Linked DNA regions of Xenopus tropicalis. The protein of the gene in region 2 binds, or shares a complex with, the protein of the main gene of each other region. Links are inferred from orthologs where the notes say so. Each region holds a gene or a part of one and is shown on either strand. Other genes may lie near its edges.

Region 1 (4,971 bases), on a different chromosome or scaffold from region 2:
ATATTCAGACACTCACAGCATGTCGGGCAAGGTAATAAGGACACCAGCCTTTTTGTCTACCCAAAGTCCTAAGGTCATCCAGATTGTAGATACCAGGAGGAAGGGGGGTCTCACGTCCAATTGCATCAAATTCCTTAAAAAAAAAAAAAAAAACAGGGTTAGTAGCAGAGTAATCACTTGATTTTCCAAAATAAGCCTTTCTGCCCCATCTTTATTTTGCTAAACATGATGTATGCTCACCTGGGGAAGGCAGATAGCTATGAAAGAGTTATGTTTTTTTTTACTTTTCAAGTGCTTTTTACAATCTATGCTCTGCTTTGGTCTAAACTTTGTGTAAAGTTTCCTCCTGCAGGCAACTTTGCCTGACTTGGGAAAACTGAAGTGATTTGTACTGTTGACGATGGAAATGCATTTTGGAGAGATTAGTCGCCCATGGTAGGAGAGATCTATTGCGGTCGACTAAATTTCTGCATGGGACAAAATGGCTGCTGCTTTCTTAAATAAACCATACCTGTTTACTCAGGTATGGTAAAGCAGCCTGCAAAATAAATATAAAGCTCTAGCTTGCACTTTTGTGACTAATCTATTGGCAATAAAATGCCTGAGTAGCTTTCCTTCTTCTTTAATAAGGTGATAAGGAAATCAGGCTCTGTACTAAGCAAAATTGGAGACTTTGGAGGAAGTGTTAGAGAGGAGAATGCTGTTGAACTATAGAAAATGTTTCTTTATCCCTACATGCTACACAACACTTAAAAGTTAAAATTGCAGTTAAGCTCACAGACAGTGTAGAATGTCTTCAACTTTTACCACAAGTACATGGAACTTGTAAGACCTTACACATTTATCCATGAATGTTATAAGTAAATATTTTGGCAAGTATTAAAATTTTTGGTTTGGAATTTCTTTTAATTGCCTCATACCTCAAAAAAACGACAGGTTTGTACAGTTGGGTCTCTCTGCTTCTGGGAACGGACAAAGGAAGCTGTCAAACTGTGACAACGACCATCTATCTCTTTGCCAAATCGCAAAGCACTGACCTGAAAAACAGAACATACAAAACTGGAGAGATACCCAAAATATCACTAAAGCCTAATAGAAGATGTCATTCAGATATGAAAATGCATTCTCACCTCTGGATTAACACAAAGATTACGTCTGGAGCTCAGAGCCAAAGCCATAAAATTGAGTGTGCCTCCAGTCTGTGCTTGAGTGTATTCAATTAGCTTTCTTAACTCCTCCACCACCTGTAAAAAGGTTGCTATATATTAGTTATAAAATAATCACTGGCTTTCAATAGTACTTCAGTGAAGAGTAGGTTAACTGTACTTAGCAAAGTAACTGTACTTAGCAAAGTAATTATTTAAACAGTCATTTCTAACCTTCTCTATTTCAGGAACAGTTCTGGAGCAGTATATTAACTTAGTGACTTCCAACGGGTAAGCCTGCAAAATACAATATGTGTAAGAAAGTGAAAGAAGGTGCAAGAAAAGAGAATAAGAAAAAATGTATTACCCTTTGGTAGGCCACAATAAGCGACAGGAGAGAAACTGTTTTCCCAGTCCCAGACGGCATCTCCAGAACACCGTGACCCTAGGAAACAGACAAGCAGTACTATATATTTAAATAGTGCACAAAAAAAAGAGATTAATGCAGGTCAAATATTCAAACACCATACTTATAAATGATTTTTCAAAAACATCCAATAGATTTACTGACAATAAAAAGATCCTCACCTTAATGGAATGTTTATATTTAGCACTATAAATAGAGTTTAAGAATAGAGACTATTTTGGGCAGAATGCAAGAATATGAAGAGACAAATAAAAACATTAACCTGAGAATGCAACATACTTCTGTAATACTAAAATCTCAGCTTCAATGTAAAGAAAAACAGAAAATACAAGGGCAACAAGGATGAGCAAGAGACAGGTGAGAACTAATAATAACACAAGAAAAAGGCAAAACTGGGGAGTAAAACTGTCAGCATTTAAAGCAGTCAGGTGACCAGCACCTAACACTTAAAGGAAGAAAAAATGAGAGCTAGACACACAGATAGAATGTAATGCTTAAAATAATGCTAGTCATGATCTTCAACAGAAATTCTAGGCCCAGACATGCACTAGAACAAGAAGTTATTTTTATAATCAACCATATAATAAGCCAGAAAAGTCAGATATCCATGAAAATCCAAGTGGTTGCTATTGACATAAGCATGCATTATTTTAGTCCACTGTTCAGGGCAATACTTACTTTGGCATCCAGGGTCCTCTTGAGCTCCAACATGTAGGAGTACTGTTCGGGATAGATGTACTCATAGGGAAAGTATACCAGTAACCCATCTATATTCAGCCTGGCAGAAAAGTAATACACACAGGTAAGCTATTTTGATTAAGAAGTAACAATATCCAACATTCTATGATATTATGCTCAATCTCCTCATTCTTAGCTATTTTAAAAGATCTATTTTATGCTTGCTGATGGATGTTGTCTTTCCAAACTTCCTTATCCACACCTAAACTCTGCCATTAGAGATTAGTTTGTCTCTGTGGAATTAAGTTAAAGAAGGAAATCTGAGGCTATTGCTGATGGATTTATACGAAATACTCTTTGGACCCAACAGAATCATGAGCCCCATATAGTTCAATCCCCTGTATATGCATGTATTTAGCTTATAAGAGGTCTATAATATATGTAACATTTAAAAAATGTAACCAAGCAAAAAAAACAGGCCAGATTTCTCCCACTGTTCCACTTTAGTCTTACTAAGGGACTCTAGAATTCAGTGCTGTAAATTTAGACAATTTCATAAAAGATAACCGATTCTTTTTATTACCGAGATTACGTGAGATTTTTATTCGAAATCCCACGATACCCTTATTTGCCGCAAAGGATCTAGACCCACATGACATGTCCTCCCCGACTTTCATTTACGATAGACTATCAGGAGTGGGTGCAAATATTAAAACATTAACTTCGGGAGCAGACAAAAGACAAACGTAAAGACCCATTTCCTTATACACAGCATGGAAAGCACGATTGCCAGTTCTGAGATTGACTCACTTCATTGCTGCTTGAAGCTCCGCTTTACCCTTTGTTCCTCCCGGTTACAGAAATAAACTTTATACCTCTTTTTCTCTCAGCTTTTACGGCTTGTTTATTATCTTTACATGCCACTACTTTATAATACAAAAACTACACTTCAGGAAAACCATAATGAACAAGGGAAACGTGGCCAATAGGAAAGCACGACCGGCGTCATGACGTAAATGGGTTGAGGTTTCTGTGCTGTCTCTCACTAAGGAAGGCAGAAGCAATCGAAAGATGATACGGAAAGGTAGATGTAGAGCGTAGGTGCCTGGTAGACCGGGCTATTTGATGAGGTTTAGATCTAGACTAGAGTCACTGTGGTGGGGCTTGGGGTGGTTGAGAACGTATTTTTCTTAAGTGGAAATGAATTGACCATGTGTGTGTGAGTTGTGCCAGAAGAAGCCTCCTCTCAGAGCCTCCATCTTTTTACACCATCCACACCCACTGCGCTCTCTCGTCTTAAACTTTCTATCTCGCTGCTCCTTACGTCTGGAACACTATCCCTGAATCCCTCCGTAGGGAACACTCACCCACTCTCTTTAAGAAAAAACTCAGCTGTTACCTTCTGGAGCACTAAAACATTATTTTGCCCAGTCCTGCGCTTAAGGGCAAATGCCCATACCTGATTGTATTTATTTATTATATCACTTGTCCTCCCTGTGTGTAATTTTGTATTCTGTAAGACTGTACAGCGCTGCGTACCCTTGTGGTGCTTTATAAATAAAGTTATACATACATACATACATACATGTCTGTCTGGTGTACTCGGGCGCACAATTACACAGAGATTGTAGTTATACAGTAGTATGTATGTATATCTTTATTCATAAAGTGCTACTTATGTACACAGCGCTGTACAGGGGTTATTAAGATAATAATGGATCAATCCAAAGTATAACAATAAAGTCCCTGCCCTGTAGAGCTTACAATCTAGATAGTAGTGTTTCTTTCAGGGCTGTGGAGTCGGAGTAGGAGGCAATTTTGGGTACCTGGAGTCAGAGTCGGAGTTGGCAAAAAATGAACCGACTCCGACTCCTACTAAATTTAAATGGGAATAAAAAAAAAAAAAAGCAAGTTTAAATGTCCCAATTCACAAACAGTCATAATTAATTACTTCTCTGCTATAAGAATAAAGCCCAATGCACGCAGTGCATAAATGAACACATTGAGTGACTATGAAGCTTTTCATTGACTGTATGCTTCACTAAATGGGATGTAACGCACAGTTAAGGTGCGGCAGCTCCACTGCGTCGTGTTCCTCTGTTACTGGGAACACAATGCCCACTGTGAACCTAGCCTAACTCTCACTGATAACTAATTAAGTAAAAAAAAATTGCAGGACTAGAAATACTTGTATACGTGAAGGGAATGGATAGTCAATAGTTTAAGACTGAAGCTTTAAAACATTTGAAAAACTGCTGTAATTCAGCTGCAATGTTAGCTTAAACTTTAAACATGACTATGGGATTCTAGGGAAATCAGTAGGAGTAGGAGTATAGATAAAATTGTCTATCAGTTTATTATCAGTTCAGTTGTGTTTTAAGTGCCCCTTCCTGGATGTATAAAATACATTAGCATATTAAAAACAGAGGAGTCGGAGTCGTGGAGTCGGAAGTATCAGAAACTGAGGAATCGGAGTCTGAGAATTTATCTACCGACTCTACAGCTCTACAGGCATCAGCGCATGTATGGAAAGCATTAAGCCAGCTGTAAGGAAGTGAATCTTTACCTAATTTGTCTGATAATTTGGCAGCGAGTCCAATTATAAAAATAAAACCTCTTGATCACTTGCCTAGAACATGAACTGAGAAGTGCGACTTATATTGTTGTGCCACCCACTGTAACCTGCAGCACGTTATACCTATTTGTGTCTATAATTACCCC
Region 2 (4,159 bases):
GGCACTGTTTTATTACTACAGAGAAAATTTTTTTAATTATTTGATTATAATGGAATCTATGGGAGATGGCCTTCCCTGCATATAAACCAACACTGCTGGGAGGAACAATGTCTATATTATGGAATACATAAGGGCTTAAGATATCTCTTTATAACTTGTGATGTCATCAGTTATTATTGGTGCTCAGTGATGTCATTACAGTGACTTACTGACTTGGTTATTTTACAAAATAATTTACACATATACATATACATATATATATATATATATATATATATATATATATACATATACATATATATATATATATACATATATACACACACACATACATATATATATATATATATATATATATATATATATATATATATATTTAAAAAGTCCAGGCATATGCTGATACAGTGGTACTTAGCTTAACAGAAATAAAAATAGGTTGCAGTTTCACAGTCTGTAAAGCTGCAACCCATATTTGTTTATTTTCTTAAAGGTGTTGCACTAGTTTCATATGGGGGTATGAACCCTTGATTTAGCAAACATCAACTGATATAATTACACATACACACATATACATTATATATACAAATATACCCGGAAACCCCAACATTTCGTAACCAAGTCCTTTGTAAAGGCGATTCCCTTTGACAAAAGGACTTGTAATACTTACTACATAAAGAGCATAATATGTTAACGTACCATTTGCTTCCTTGACTCTTACTTCCAAAAAGGTGTGCAACTATTTATTTTAAAAATATATATTATTCAGGATTTTGCAAAATCAAATTTGAACCACTGTTCTTTATATCATTTCTGTTCACTTTTTGCTATGGTACATTACGTATGTGCCAATTTAGACAAGTTTATAGAAGGTTCAAAAGAAAACAATCTTTATTACATTAAAACAAAAGAAAAAAAGTGGTTTAACCATTTTGTACGTAAAAGTTTTTATGTTGGCTAACAAAAGAAAGAGTTATTTTTGCTATTGAAATAGCACAATTGCCCTTTAAATACAATAAACACAAAACTCATTAAATCAGATGCTGGAGACATATTTATCTGAGCAACAAGGGGATCAGAATGAACAGAATTAAGCAGAGCAAAACCAGCACAATATTCGGCTTCCACAAACTGCCAATCGGTCTGTGTCTGGCAGAGACATGGCAGCTCTAGGATATTTTTTTAGCTAATGTATAGTACATTTGATTCTTTAATACTCCTAAGACAGAAATAAATGGTCTCTTTAACACCCAGAGAATGTAATTCTGGATTTTTGAGTCTGTGAGGGGAAATATTAGGTAACTATCAAGGTTTGGAGTTGATGAGCAGCTAAGGAGATCCTGCAGTGAAGATACTCTGTAAACATCCTTAGTCCAATTGATGCTTTTATGATTTGCCTGGAGCACCATCTGTATAATCTTTCAGCACTCCCGCCAAGTGGTCGTTATGAGTCTTAAACCTCCTTCTCTGTGAAGTAGTTTTCTTCCTCTTCTGCACTGGAATCTAAAATGTGCATTAATAAATTGCGTTAACGCTGCAAATAGCAGAACAAGGCACAGACTATGGAACACGAAGGCAAGTATAAAAACTACTGCAACCCAGAAAACAAATCTCTGCTACCGCGGGCAACTAATCTCCCTGACATGCCTTCCCACTGGCAATAATGTAAACCACCAATGGGAAGGCATACACATCTCTAAATCGCCCAAAGTTTCCTTGCCACTGGGAAGGCTTTTCAGGGAGATTAGTGGCCTGCAGTAGCAGAGATTAATCAACTAATCTCCCCGTGGGACATTAACCTAAGGATGTAAGTGTGGATTAAGGACAATATTCCTATTGTAGAAAAATTGACAGATTGAAAGGTATTTTACACAAATTATAAGGCTCTCTTACAATTTTCTTTGGTCCAGAGTCTTGCATTGAAGAAATTCCCTGCCTTTTTAGGTATTCTTCAATCTTCTCATCGTCCATGGAATCTACTGGGACACTCCTCCATAACTTCTGAAATTCTAAGAATAAGTAAATTCTTAATAGAACACATGCAGGACAACTAAGGTATTTATTCACAGGTGATTTTGAGCTCATCTGAGCTACACCTAGTTCATTCTGCACTCCATCATTAAAACCCATTATATGCACCTACATAAAAGGGCTGAGCTGATATAATGAATGGGACCCACCACAGCACCTATGATCAATGGAGAAAAACAGTGCCATTCAGCTTCTAAAGGTAGGAGTCACAACAAAACATGGATTTTATCTAAAAAGGTTCATATAGTATTCCGACTGGTATTAATTTCTCTCTCTTTGCAGGAGTCATTCAGATGTTTCATGACCTTTTTCTCATCTTAGCACTCATTTGTATTGCTGATGGAGTTTTGCAGCACATAATTTAAAAATAAGATTTTAGATACATTTACATGTACATAAAGTATGCAATATTGCTTACCACAGCTTTTTTGTGTTGGGGGGTGGGAGATTATATATATATATATATATATTTTTTTTTTTTTTTTTTTAAGTAAAGGCAATATTGCTATTACAGTAAAAGGTAGCAACACTAGAGATAAGATGATGAGGTACTTAGGAAGAGATAATGGATTGAGCTCAAGAGCGGTAGGAGTTGATAAATAAGTTATGGTTATTTTTTTATGGTTATCTATTATACAAATATATGCTTATGTCACAAGAAGACCTATAAACTAGAAGGCCTGCATTCTGAGGTGATGCTTTAATCACCATGATTACTATTATATCTAATGGCAAGCAATATGAGACAGAAGTGCTAGAAAGTGATTGGCCTTAGAAAAGAATCAGAGGCTGGTAAGCTGATAGCCTGATTTGCCAAAATAGAACTGCAGTTAACGTGTCCAGTCGAATATATAAACAACCCCAGTTTCTCACTCTATCATAAAATGTATGGGCATGCACAAGTATAACATTTGTGCACTGGTATAGGTGGTAGCGAGTACTGGCGTGTGGGTGCTTGTAGCAGCTGATCAACTCTACTATGTGGTTTAGTTTAAGTGCTGATGACTTCTGATGGTGTCCAAATGTATCATAAAATCATTTCTTGGCAACAGCATTACTTTACATTGAAATAAAATTGGTGGTAAAAACGCAAATCAAAATATTTTGCATTTCAGATTTTCACATCGCATTTTGTCATATCACTAGAAATAAGTGTACAAATTAGGATCTAGAAGCAGCTTGTTCAAATTGCATTTATCAGCCACAATGTAGCATTGTTAAACAAACGAAGGAAGCAGGATCTCTGGAGCCACTCTGTCTGAAGTAAGGGCAAGAGACAAGCTTCTCTGATATCACTCTGAATTTTCCCCTAAACATTAAAATGAAATACATTTGTGAAGTTATCGGCCTAAGCAGTTGGCTGTTTTATCTCTGATATACTGCACCCTGTGCGTAGGGGATAAAGCAGGTAACCCTGTGCTACTGCATTCCTATGAATAGTGAACTATGGCTTTGAGCACTGCAGATCTTATTCATCTGGAATGAATGGAGAGGGAGCGGTACCAGACACAGCTTCAAAGACATATCATTGGCTGGAGAGTGAAAAGCAACATATTTGTTGCACCACAAGTGATCTATATAGAATAAAATGATAATTTAAAGGGGATGATAAACAGGCTGTATATTGCCACAAAGTAGGATTTTCTGTCTCATTTGTCAGTCACCTTGTCACTCCTCCTAAACGCCCTATGTTTATCCATTCTACCAATAATCGTTTTAATCGGCCGGTGTATGGCCAACTTTATTTATTTGTATTTAAGTCTTTATGTCAATGAAATTTGACTGTAGGCTCCCCTAGGCACTAATATAACATGTGAGCTCTAGTTAATATATAATCAATCTAATTATAATAAATAACAGAAAACAAATTTACTATAAAGATGTCAAAAGAAAGGATATGTACAAAAAGCCATTATGTTAGTGATGACTTGTTTCCTATCATTAAAAGCAACTTATCAATCACATTATAGGGGCAGTTCACCGTCACATTTTCCCCCTATTTTTCCCCAGTAGTAGCTGTATAGAAACTGCAGATGGAGAAAAGCCAATGAACAGCCCTGTGTGCCACTAGCCTAAAAAGAAAAAGTCATTATTAGTGATGTGCTAATAATGAAAAAGAAACCATTTAAGT
Region 3 (5,020 bases), on a different chromosome or scaffold from region 2:
AATACACTGGTACACGGGATGGGGCTAGGGAATACACTGGTACATGGGATGAGGCTAGGGAATACACTGGTACATGGGATGAGGCTAGGGAATACACTGGTACATGGGATGGGGCTAGGGAATACACTGGTACATGGGATGAGGCTAGGGCATACACTGGTACATGGGATGAGGCTAGGGAATACACTGGTACATGGGATGAGGCTAGGGAATACACTGGTACATGGGATGGGGTTAGGGAATACACTGGTACATGGGATGAGGCTAGGGAATACACTGGTACATGGGATGGGGTTAGGGAATACACTGGTACATGGGATGGGGCTAGGGAATACACTGGTACATGGGATGGGGTAGGGAATACACTGGTACATGGGATGGGGTTAGGGAATACACTGGTACATGGGATGGGGTTAGGGAATACACTGGTACATGGGATGGGGTTAGGGAATACACTGGTACATGGGATGGGGTTAGGGAATACACTGGTACATGGGATGGGGTTAGGGAATACACTGGTACAGGATGGGTAGGGAACACTGGTACATGGGATGGGGTTAGGGAATACACTGGTACATGGGATGGGGCTAGGGAATACACTGGTACATGGGATGGGGCTAGGGAATACACTGGTACATGGGATGGGGTTAGGGAATACACTGGTACATGGGATGGGGCTAGGGAATACACTGGTACATGGGATGGGGCTAGGGAATACACTGGTACATGGGATGAGGCTAGGGAATACACTGGTACATGGGATGAGGCTAGGGAATACACTGGTACACGGGATGAGGCTAGGGAATACACTGGTACACGGGATGAGGCTAGGGAATACACTGGTACACGGGATGAGGCTAGGGAATACACTGGTACACGGGATGAGGCTAGGGAATACACTGGTACATGGGATGAGGCTAGGGAATACACTGGTACATGGGATGAGGCTAGGGAATACACTGGTACATGGGATGGGGCTAGGGAATACACTGGTACGTCATTACTGCAACACGTGCACCATTCCAGCTGATTAATCCCGGCTCAGAGTTCCCCATGAACAAGCTGTTGGAGTACACACACCTGAGCTAGGACACCTTGTACTCCAGTTACAGCTAAACTCCTTCCCAGGAACACAACCGTAGCCCAAAAGAGGCGAACAGAAGCTATTCTCTATTAAACACATGGATACTGTACTGTATCACCCCAATCGCTCCTACTCAATGTGGACTGACAGGTGGTATGGACATCGTGTGCTCACAAAGTCTGTCAGACGCGGGACTGTCGCACGTAAGACAGTAAAGCACCATGACTTCCTTGGCCATTACCTGCTCGAATTTTTCTAGCCTACCCGCGTCCTCCGATACAGCGCAACCCTTCTCAACCAGAGTCGACATACTGTGACGCACTCCTGTAAGTGCCGCGCTCTGACAAACACCAGCGACCCCAGGGCTACTTTAGCACACTGAAGCCTTCACACCAATCAGAGACGCCGCCGGCGTCCATGTGACGGGAGGTTGAGGAAGCAGCCCAGCTGCCATTTTTGACACTGGCGGAGTATTAATATTATTCATTGCGCTCAAAACTGCTTATGATTTGTATATGTTGGACCCATATTACACATAAGTAACTAGACGATGTAAATTTATTTTCCCTTTGAAAGTAGTGAAAGAGCCCACGTAGAACCTGGCCACCGCGGACTAGAATTTGTATTTCAGCATGCAATGTAAACGCAGAGTACCTTCAACATGGGAAGTGACGCCATTTGCTATTGTCGTGACGTCATCAGAACGGGCGAAAAGACAGTGAGAGTGCTGAGTGCAGCCGGGAAGCTGAAAGGACTCCCTCTCGCATCATGAACGCGCCACCAGCGTTTGAGTCTTTTCTACTGTTCGAGGGTGAAAAAAAGTAAGTATTTCATTCAGGCATATTGGCCTTTATACAGCCAATTAAAGAAACACCAAAACCAGCACAATATGACATAGCCATAGATGAAAGACTGCTGCACAAGTGTCACATTAACCCAGGACAGGCTCCCTGCTGGAAATTACAGTCAAGCTGCTATCATAGCCAAGGTGAAATGACAGTGAAATCCAGTGGATCGGTTTTACACAAACTGGCCCTGCTGTTGGCAATTAAAAATAAATTAACAGTAAATGAATTAATCTTTAGTATGTTATTAATGTACCTATTCCATGCAACTTTTCTCAAGGTGCCCACTTGTTGTTGTTTACTTTAAAGTATTAGCATTTTCATTCTGCCACTTTCCAGCTTGCAATTGAAAATGCTGTCTGGTTGTCTGGGCAACTTTAAAACATAATACCATCAGTTTTATTGTTATTTTAGATTTTATTCCATTTCAGACTATAAACCTGTGTATAAGAGGAATTGCATAACTCACTAAATCCTTTCTGTCTATTAGAGATTAGGTCCCGGTTATTACTGCAGACAAGGTTTGGCTTCAAATATTAGACTAGTTGAGATAACAATTAACCCCATATCATTATTATTATTATCATATATTATTTTCCATTCTTTAAATATCTGACCTTATTTATGGGTAACTGATGGATAGGAGTTGCTGATATGAGTATGGGGAAGATCAGTAGGGCACAAGTCTCCCAATAGGCTTCTCTGTTTCACATGCCACCTATCCATGGCCTTGGATGATGGCACTTTAGGTTTTATGGTGTCCACAGATAAAGCCTTTGGGTAGTGGGTTTCCAGGTTGGGTTTGTATCTTTTCAGTTAGGCCCACTCAGGTCTTAACTTGGAGGTGTAATTTTCTTGTTTTCCCCTCTTTATTTCATACAAGGTTACAGATATTTTATATATTAGTGACTCTGCCATAGTTCTATGCATATGGACTGGACATATCAACATTGGTGCTTTAATGTTACCCAAAGTTTGACACATCGCGGTGGAGCTGTACTTCTATGTCAAGTCTTATTTCTAAAGGTGGCCATACACGGGCCGACTATAGCTGCCGATATCGGTCCCTTGGACCGATTCGGCAGCTAATCGGCCCGTGTATGGGGAGAGCAGATCGGCCTGGCCGACCGATATCTGGCCTGAAATTGGCCAGATCTCGATCGGCCAGGTTAGAAAATCTGGTCGGATCGGGGACCGCATCGGCTCGTTGATGCGGTCCCCGATCCGACTGCCCCATTGCCTCCCACATAATCCGATCGTCTGGCCCCAGGGCCAAACGATCGGATTATTATTTTTTTTACCTAAATGGTCCCCAACGAGCCGATGCGGTCCCCGATCCGACCAGATTTTCTAACCTGGCCGATCGAGATCTGGCCAATTTCAGGCCAGATATCGGTCGGCCAGGCCGATCTGCTCTCCCCATACACGGGCCGATTAGCTGCCGAATCGGTCCAAGGGACCGATATCGGCAGCTATAGTCGGCCCGTGTATGGCCACCTTAACACACATAAGTGAATGGTTTAGGAAGGGAGGCTGATAAGTCATTGCACAGGAGCATATAATGGCCCACTCTACCGGTACCAATACACCAGGGAAGTGACAGGTGCTGCTCCTTCTTGACACTTCTTTTTATGTTGATTGCCAAATCAGACCATTTGCTCGACAGGTCAGTTCAACTTATAACCAAGTTGTCATTCAATGTATAGCTGCTTGTATTCTTTCTTTCTTACTGTTTTTATATGATCACATGTGATGATGATGTAGCTTGAATGCCTATATAACTAATAATCATTAATGTTTAGGATAACAATCACTAAGGATACCAAGGTACCTAATGCTTGTTTGTTTACAATCAACAAGGAAGATCATACAATTGGAAATATCATTAAGTCGTAAGTATTTATTTTTTTAACTTTATTTTAATTAAGGCAGAGTAGCACTATCAAACCAGCTGTTACAAATATCTCTAGTTACGGGGGGGGGGGGGGGGAGTTAAAAATGTCACACTTAGTGCTGTGGCACACGGGAAGATTAGTCACCCGCGACAAATCTCCCTTGTTGCGGGCTACTATTCTCCCCAATATGTAAATCGCCGGTGGGATGACATATGCAAAAATGAAAACTGCCAAAATAGATAGCAAAATAAAAAATATTTTCAATGTAGTTAATTAGGCAAAAATGTAATCTAGGGCTGGAGTGGGCAGATGTTTAACATAATGGCCAGAACTCTACTTCCTGCTTTACAGCTCTCTAAGCTTTTAGCTGTCAGTAGTCAATCAGTAAACAAAGGGAGCTTCTATGGCCATTCTGCTGAAAAATATAGCGTTCTACCTTTAAGATAAACATCTTTCATTCTGGGGATTTCCTTGTCCCTTAATATGATAAAGGGATAGTTTACCTTTACTTTTAATGTTAGTATGATGTAGACATTGACAATTTGCAATTGGTCTTTATTATCTATTTTTTATGTTTTTTGAGTTATTTATCTTTTTGTTCAGCAGCTCTCCAGTTTGGTATTTCTGCAGCTAATTGGTTGCTAGGGTCTTATCTACCATAGCAACCAGGCATTGGATTGAACAAAAGACCACAATGCGTGCATAGAAATATAAGTAATAGAAAGTAGCAATAATTTTAAAAATTGTAGCCTCAAAGAGAAGTAGTTTTTAACTGCCGGGGTAATTTTAAAGTTGCAAAAAGACAGAAGAGGAAGGCAATTAAAAATATAAAAAAATAAATAATGGAAACCAATTGTAAAGTTGCCAGGAATAGGGCATTATATGACATACTAAAAGTTAGAATGTATGACTTTGTAAACTTATTCTATTATAGACAGCTGCTGAAGGATCCTCAGGTGTTATTTGCAGGTTACAAAGTTCCACATCCTCTTGAGCATAAAATTATCATAAGAGTTCAGACAACACCAGACTACAGCCCCCAAGAGGCATTTACCAATGCAATCACAGACTTGATAAGTGAGCTGTCCCTTTTAGAGGAAAGATTTCGGGTATGTATAAAATCCATTTTTCCTGTTTATGCTTTCAAAAAACCCCAAATTTTTTCCCAAAATGTTTGAACAAAATGCTAAGCATTT
Region 4 (4,861 bases), on a different chromosome or scaffold from region 2:
GAGGGGGGCAGGAGGGGGTTCTGTATGCTGGGGCTCAGAGAGAAGCGGCAGGAGGGGGGCAGGAGGGGGTTCTGTATGCTGGGGCTCAGAGAGAAGCAGCAGGAGGGGGGCAGGAGGGGGTTCTGTATGCTGGGGCTCAGAGAGAAGCGGCAGGAGGGGGGCAGGAGGGGGTTCTGTATGCTGGGGCTCAGAGAGAAGCAGCAGGAGAGACACAGCTCTCATTCACTGCAAAATAAAATAAATTCCCTGTTCCAGTCCCCCCAGGAGAGAAAAGGAGCGTCAGTGCCAGGTATTGGGCCATTATGTTCTGCCAGCCCACAGCTCCCTCTAGTGGCCACTCTCATACAGACAAAGGAAACAAATGAAAGCTAAAGATTCATTTTTATAAACACTAAAGAGACAACTTGTCACCCAAATGCCAGAAATACGAGCCCACGGCACGAGGCCTGCTAATGAGCCCGCAGTGGGTGCATATCGCCAGTGGGTGCATATCGCCAGTGGGTGCATATCGCCAGTGGGTGCATATCGCCAGTGGGTGCATATCGCCAGTGGGTGCATATCGCCAGTGGGTGCATATCGCCAGTGGGTGCATATCGCCAGTGGGTGCATATCGCCAGTGGGTGCATATCGCCAGTGGGTGCATATCGCCAGTGGGTGCATATCGCCAGTGGGTGCATATCGCCAGTGGGTGCATATCGCCAGTGGGTGCATATCGCCAGTGGGTGCATATCGCCAGTGGGTGCATATCGCCAGTGGGTGCATATCGCCAGTGGGTGCATATCGCCAGTGGGTGCATATCGCCACAACAACATAGGAGAAAAAAAAACCATGTCTGCAATAAACAAAACAATCCAGAAATACCCCGTGCCACTAAATCAGCCCCAACCTCCCAGCCTGGTACGTGGTCTCCCCCCACAAAGGAGCTGTCACTGCCCTCCCCATGTACCTACTGCCCAGCTACTGACTACGGAAGCACCGATCCCTATGGCAGAAGGATCTATGGAGATACTATCCCCCCCACTGTATAGGGCCGGATGGCTTTACCATACTATATTGTTATATATATATATTTAACTGTTAGTATGTTATAGAACAGACAATTCTGAGCAACTTTTCAATTGATCATCATTTATAGTCTTTTAATTGTTTGCAGCCTTCTAACTCCTTGTAACTTTCAAATGGGGGTCATACTTAGCTGTAATATTGGTGTGTAGGCGCCATCTCAGTGCCTTGTGCCTGAGTCTGAGCTTTCAGCCAGCGCTACCCATTAGAACTGCTTTCAGCTAACCTATTGTTTCTCCTACTCCCATGTAACTGGAGGAGTCCCAGGGCTAATGCTCCTATAAAATGACTGTTTGGGGGTTCCCATACACAGCAGCGCAGACGAAGCACAAATGGCCACTTACCTGTCATGGGGTCGAAGAGCTGGTTAGCCTCGAGGTCAGTGAAAGTGCTGCAGCAGTTTGGGCACTTGAAAGACGCTCTGTTGGTTGAATCTCTCTCGTCGGTCTCGATCCGGCGCCTCATGTGGTCCAGCTTGTACTTCACCACGTTGACCAGCAGCCTGTAGTTAATAAAGTAGTAGTTGTGCCTGGTGGTCTTCCCGTCGGTGGCGGTCTCCACGCGCATTCGGCACTTGATGAATTTGTCGCCCTTGAGAGTGTTGAGAACGGCTCTCAGTTGCTTCCGGTCGAACTTCAGCAGCTCCATCATGTCGTCTTCCTTCACACAGGGGTTCCGGATGAGAATATCCAGCGCCAGAGCGTGCTCCAGCCCGTAGAACCCACGTACCACGTACTTGGCCAGGCGTTTCAGCACGGCGGGGACTTCTGTAGCCACATCTGGGTCCGTCATCTTGCCCCTGCCCTTAAGAACAGTAATACATATATGTGTAGGGACCCATAGGGTTAAACTCCCCTATGGCTTTAAACTCCTAGTTACTGGGCAAATACCTGTGTATCTATTTTATCCTTTGCACTTATACCTGATTGGTTATTTGGGTTGACCACACCCCTTGTACTCTCATATAGTGTTTAGCAGGGGGGTGTGGCTTCCTCTTTGGCTGCCACTGAGACTCAGCTGAAGGTCCACTCATCTTAGGGTCTAGGAGAGTGGAGTATGGGCACCATGAGGCACTGGGATGCACCTGATGTGCTTTTTTGAATTGTTTTGTATCAATTTGAGCCAATAAATGATTGTTTATTTCACTGAATAAATTGTTGATTGAAGGTCCACTGAGCCTGGGATCAGAATAGGCCCCAGTAAAGCCATCTGCCCTAGAGTACCCATGAACGAGGACTATCTAGAGTAGCAGAATACTGTAATAGCACTCTCTAGGAGAGTGAGACAGATAGAACTAGATAGTAAGAGCAGTTCTGGCTCCAACCAGGAGGTTAGCTGGGAGTACCTTCCATACAGGCACTGTTGCCTCAGCCTAGGGCCACGGTTAAGATACAGGATACAGGTCAGTGTAAATCCCTGATATACAGTCGCTGTGGGACCCTTTCAAGCTAAAGGTATTCAACCTGAGGATTGGATTAACTATCCAGACTGCCCTCCATAGTGCCGAGCTGACAGTTGCATTTACCCTGCCCAGTCTGCCACAGAGGTGGGATAAGCCGGCGGCACCCTCTCTAACTAACCTCAAGGTGTCGGCTATTTCTGCACTTGTGAGTACTGATCTATCCCTGCGCTACTACAACTTGTCTTGGACAATTTTTGGTTCACAAGAGCGCCTGGCGTCCATCTTATCACTTGAGCTAAGCAATAACGCTACACAGCGGCAGTGGGAGGTGCAGTACAACAACACCCTGCAGTGGCTCCTCCCACATAGCGAAGGCCCATGTACCCCATGCTCTATACACAGCTGGCCAATGTAACCAGCCAATAGCAGTTAGAGATGTTCCCTCCTATGGGCACTTACAGTACAATTACCTTTAGTTATACCCCCCCCCCCCATTAACCCCATTGGCACTGAGCATCACACAGCAGCCTTGTTATAACAGAATGGAACATATAGGCACAAAGCGCCCTTCTGTCCCTCATATATAAATAACATAAATACAACACAATAAAGAGATATACGGGGCCCCCAGGGGCCAATGAGGAGAGGGCGGGTCACTGTATGTTCCACTCACATAAAACTAATGAATAAAATGAAGTTTGAGGACCACTCACCTCACACAGATTCTGCTCCCACCACACTGGTCAGATACGTAAAAAGTCCACGCCGCGCATCCAATCAACGTCTTAGTCTCCTGTAGCGGCCGCCATCTTTGTGAAGGATAACTATGTCACTTCCGCCAGTAACAAACCAATGTTATCACCGAGAGACACCAGAAAGAGAAATGGCCGACTGTGCCACATAATGCTTCGTTTCGTTGCGTGTCAGTGTAAAACGCAGAACCAAGTCTGTACTTCCGCCAGCAATGTAGTTTTTCCCGCCGGCCAATAACAAAACTGAAGTCAGAGCAGCAAAAACCCATGTGTTAGGTGCGCCGCCAATCCGCTGGCTGCATAGGCTGGGTTGCTAGGGGGCGGCAGTTACGGAAATGAAGACGTGTCAGGATTGGCTAGAAGCCTGACAGAGTAAGATGGCTTCTCTGGACAGAGTGAAGGTTCTGGTTCTGGGGGATTCAGGTGAGCAGGGGTAAAGGGGAATCCCGGTCAGTGTGGGAGTTGGGGTACAGGTGTGGGAGTTGGGGGTACAGGTGTGGGAATTGGGGGTACAGGTGTGGGAGTTGGGGGTACAGGTGTGGGAGTTGGGGGTACAGGTGTGGGAATTGGGGGTACAGGTGTGGGAATTGGGGGTACAGGTGTGGGAGTTGGGGGTACAGGTGTGGGAGTTGGGGGTACAGGTGTGGGAATTGGGGGTACAGGTGTGGGAATTGGGGGTACAGGTGTGGGAGTTGGGGGTACAGGTGTGGGAGTTGGGGGTACAGGTGTGGGAGTTGGGGGTACAGAGGGAGCGGAACTTGCTGTTCTGAAAAGACCAAAGGAATGTGGGGCTGGGGGTACAGAGGGGAGACAGGGGCTGGGGGTACAGAGGGGAGACAGGGGCTGGGGGTACAGAGGGGAGACAGGGGGGAGACAGGGGCTGGGGGTACAGAGGGGAGACAGGGGCTGGGGTACAGGGGGGAGACAGGGGCTGGGGTACAGGGGGGAGACAGGGGCTGGGGTACAGGGGGGAGACAGGGGCTGGGGGTACAGAGGGGAGACAGGGGCTGGGGGTACAGGGGGGAGACAGGGGCTGGGGGTACAGAGGGGAGACAGGGGCTGGGGGTACTAGGGAGACAGGGGCTGGGGGTACAGAGGGGAGACAGGGGCTGGGGGTACAGAGGGGAGACAGGGGCTGGGGGTACAGAGGGGAGACAGGGGCTGGGGGTACAGAGGGGAGACAGAGGGGAGACAGGGGCTGGGGGTACAGAGGGGAGACAGGGGCTGGGGGTACAGAGGGGAGACAGGGGGGAGACAGGGGCTGGGGGTACAGAGGGGAGACAGGGGCTGGGGGTACAGAGGGGAGACAGGGGCTGGGGGTACAGAGGGGAGACAGGGGGGAGACAGGGGCTGGGGGTACAGAGGGGTCCCAGGGAGACAGGGGCTGGGGGTACAAAGAGGAGGCACAAGGAGAGTGGGACAGGGGTTTAGAGTGGTGCCAGGGACGCAGTGGGTACTAATGGTTAGGAGCGACATGGGGTTCCAGAGGGGGAGTTTGTGCCGCTGCTCTCTCCCAGCTATTCTGCACTTGGGCTGAAATGAATATTGTGCTGCCCCCGGGGGGCATATCCAGTTATATGTAATGTGTATTGGGTGATAACGGCCGCTGCATGTTTGTCTCTTTGCAGGAGTCGGAAAGTCTTCC

What was found. The genes of interacting proteins can lie anywhere in the genome.
Region 1: gtf2e2 (region 2) and ercc2 share a complex: the UniProt entries of both Homo sapiens proteins name them as parts of the TBP-based Pol II pre-initiation complex. The link is inferred for Xenopus tropicalis from reciprocal best matches to the Homo sapiens genes GTF2E2 and ERCC2.
Region 3: gtf2e2 (region 2) and polr2j share a complex: the UniProt entries of both Homo sapiens proteins name them as parts of the TBP-based Pol II pre-initiation complex. The link is inferred for Xenopus tropicalis from reciprocal best matches to the Homo sapiens genes GTF2E2 and POLR2J.
Region 4: the proteins of gtf2e2 (region 2) and gtf2e1 are in contact, whole or in part, in a crystal structure (PDB 5GPY), measured with the Homo sapiens proteins. The link is inferred for Xenopus tropicalis from reciprocal best matches to the Homo sapiens genes GTF2E2 and GTF2E1. Residues at the interface, in NP_002086.1 of Homo sapiens: Asp159, Gln160, Arg161, Gly162, Leu163, Gly164, Gly165, Leu167, Leu190, Val192, Asn193, Arg194, Pro195, Ile200, Phe202, Cys208, Gln209, Phe210, Ser211, Val212, Asp213, Glu215, Phe216, Gln217, Leu219, Trp220, Arg221, Val223, Thr224, Val225; in NP_005504.2 of Homo sapiens: Arg16, Lys19, Tyr20, Val21, Arg23, Gly24, Phe25, Tyr26, Ile28, Glu29, Leu32, Arg39, Leu51, Leu52, Lys53, Phe54, Asp55, Gln58, Gly68, Asp69, Lys70, Phe71, Lys73, Thr98, Asn101, Val102, Val103, Lys104, Tyr105, Lys106.

The regions. Positions count from the first base shown.
Region 1 is NC_030684.2:70,774,514-70,779,484, reverse strand, and holds the start of ercc2 (TFIIH basal transcription factor complex helicase XPD subunit), read right to left. Parts: upstream 3,195-4,971; 5' UTR 3,066-3,194; coding exon 3,061-3,065; intron 2,351-3,060; coding exon 2,251-2,350; intron 1,591-2,250; coding exon 1,513-1,590; intron 1,443-1,512; coding exon 1,380-1,442; intron 1,245-1,379; coding exon 1,131-1,244; intron 1,038-1,130; coding exon 921-1,037; intron 134-920; coding exon 17-133; intron 1-16. UniProt on the Homo sapiens protein: ATP-dependent 5'-3' DNA helicase. Component of the general transcription and DNA repair factor IIH (TFIIH) core complex, not absolutely essential for minimal transcription in vitro.
Region 2 is NC_030677.2:83,811,314-83,815,472, reverse strand, and holds the end of gtf2e2 (transcription initiation factor IIE subunit beta), read right to left. Parts: intron 2,007-4,159; coding exon 1,891-2,006; intron 1,501-1,890; coding exon 1,384-1,500; 3' UTR 719-1,383; downstream 1-718. UniProt on the Homo sapiens protein: Recruits TFIIH to the initiation complex and stimulates the RNA polymerase II C-terminal domain kinase and DNA-dependent ATPase activities of TFIIH. Both TFIIH and TFIIE are required for promoter clearance by RNA polymerase.
Region 3 is NC_030678.2:94,652,175-94,657,194, reverse strand, and holds the start of polr2j (DNA-directed RNA polymerase II subunit RPB11-a), read left to right. Parts: upstream 1-1,826; 5' UTR 1,827-1,852; coding exon 1,853-1,905; intron 1,906-3,731; coding exon 3,732-3,821; intron 3,822-4,758; coding exon 4,759-4,933; intron 4,934-5,020. Other genes in the region: txlng (gamma-taxilin), read right to left, coding at 1,326-1,394. UniProt on the Homo sapiens protein: Core component of RNA polymerase II (Pol II), a DNA-dependent RNA polymerase which synthesizes mRNA precursors and many functional non-coding RNAs using the four ribonucleoside triphosphates as substrates.
Region 4 is NC_030678.2:2,926,520-2,931,380, reverse strand, and holds the start of gtf2e1 (general transcription factor IIE subunit 1), read right to left. Parts: upstream 3,195-4,861; 5' UTR 3,178-3,194; intron 1,867-3,177; 5' UTR 1,855-1,866; coding exon 1,407-1,854; intron 1-1,406. Other genes in the region: rabl3 (rab-like protein 3), read left to right, coding at 3,594-3,639, 4,845-4,861.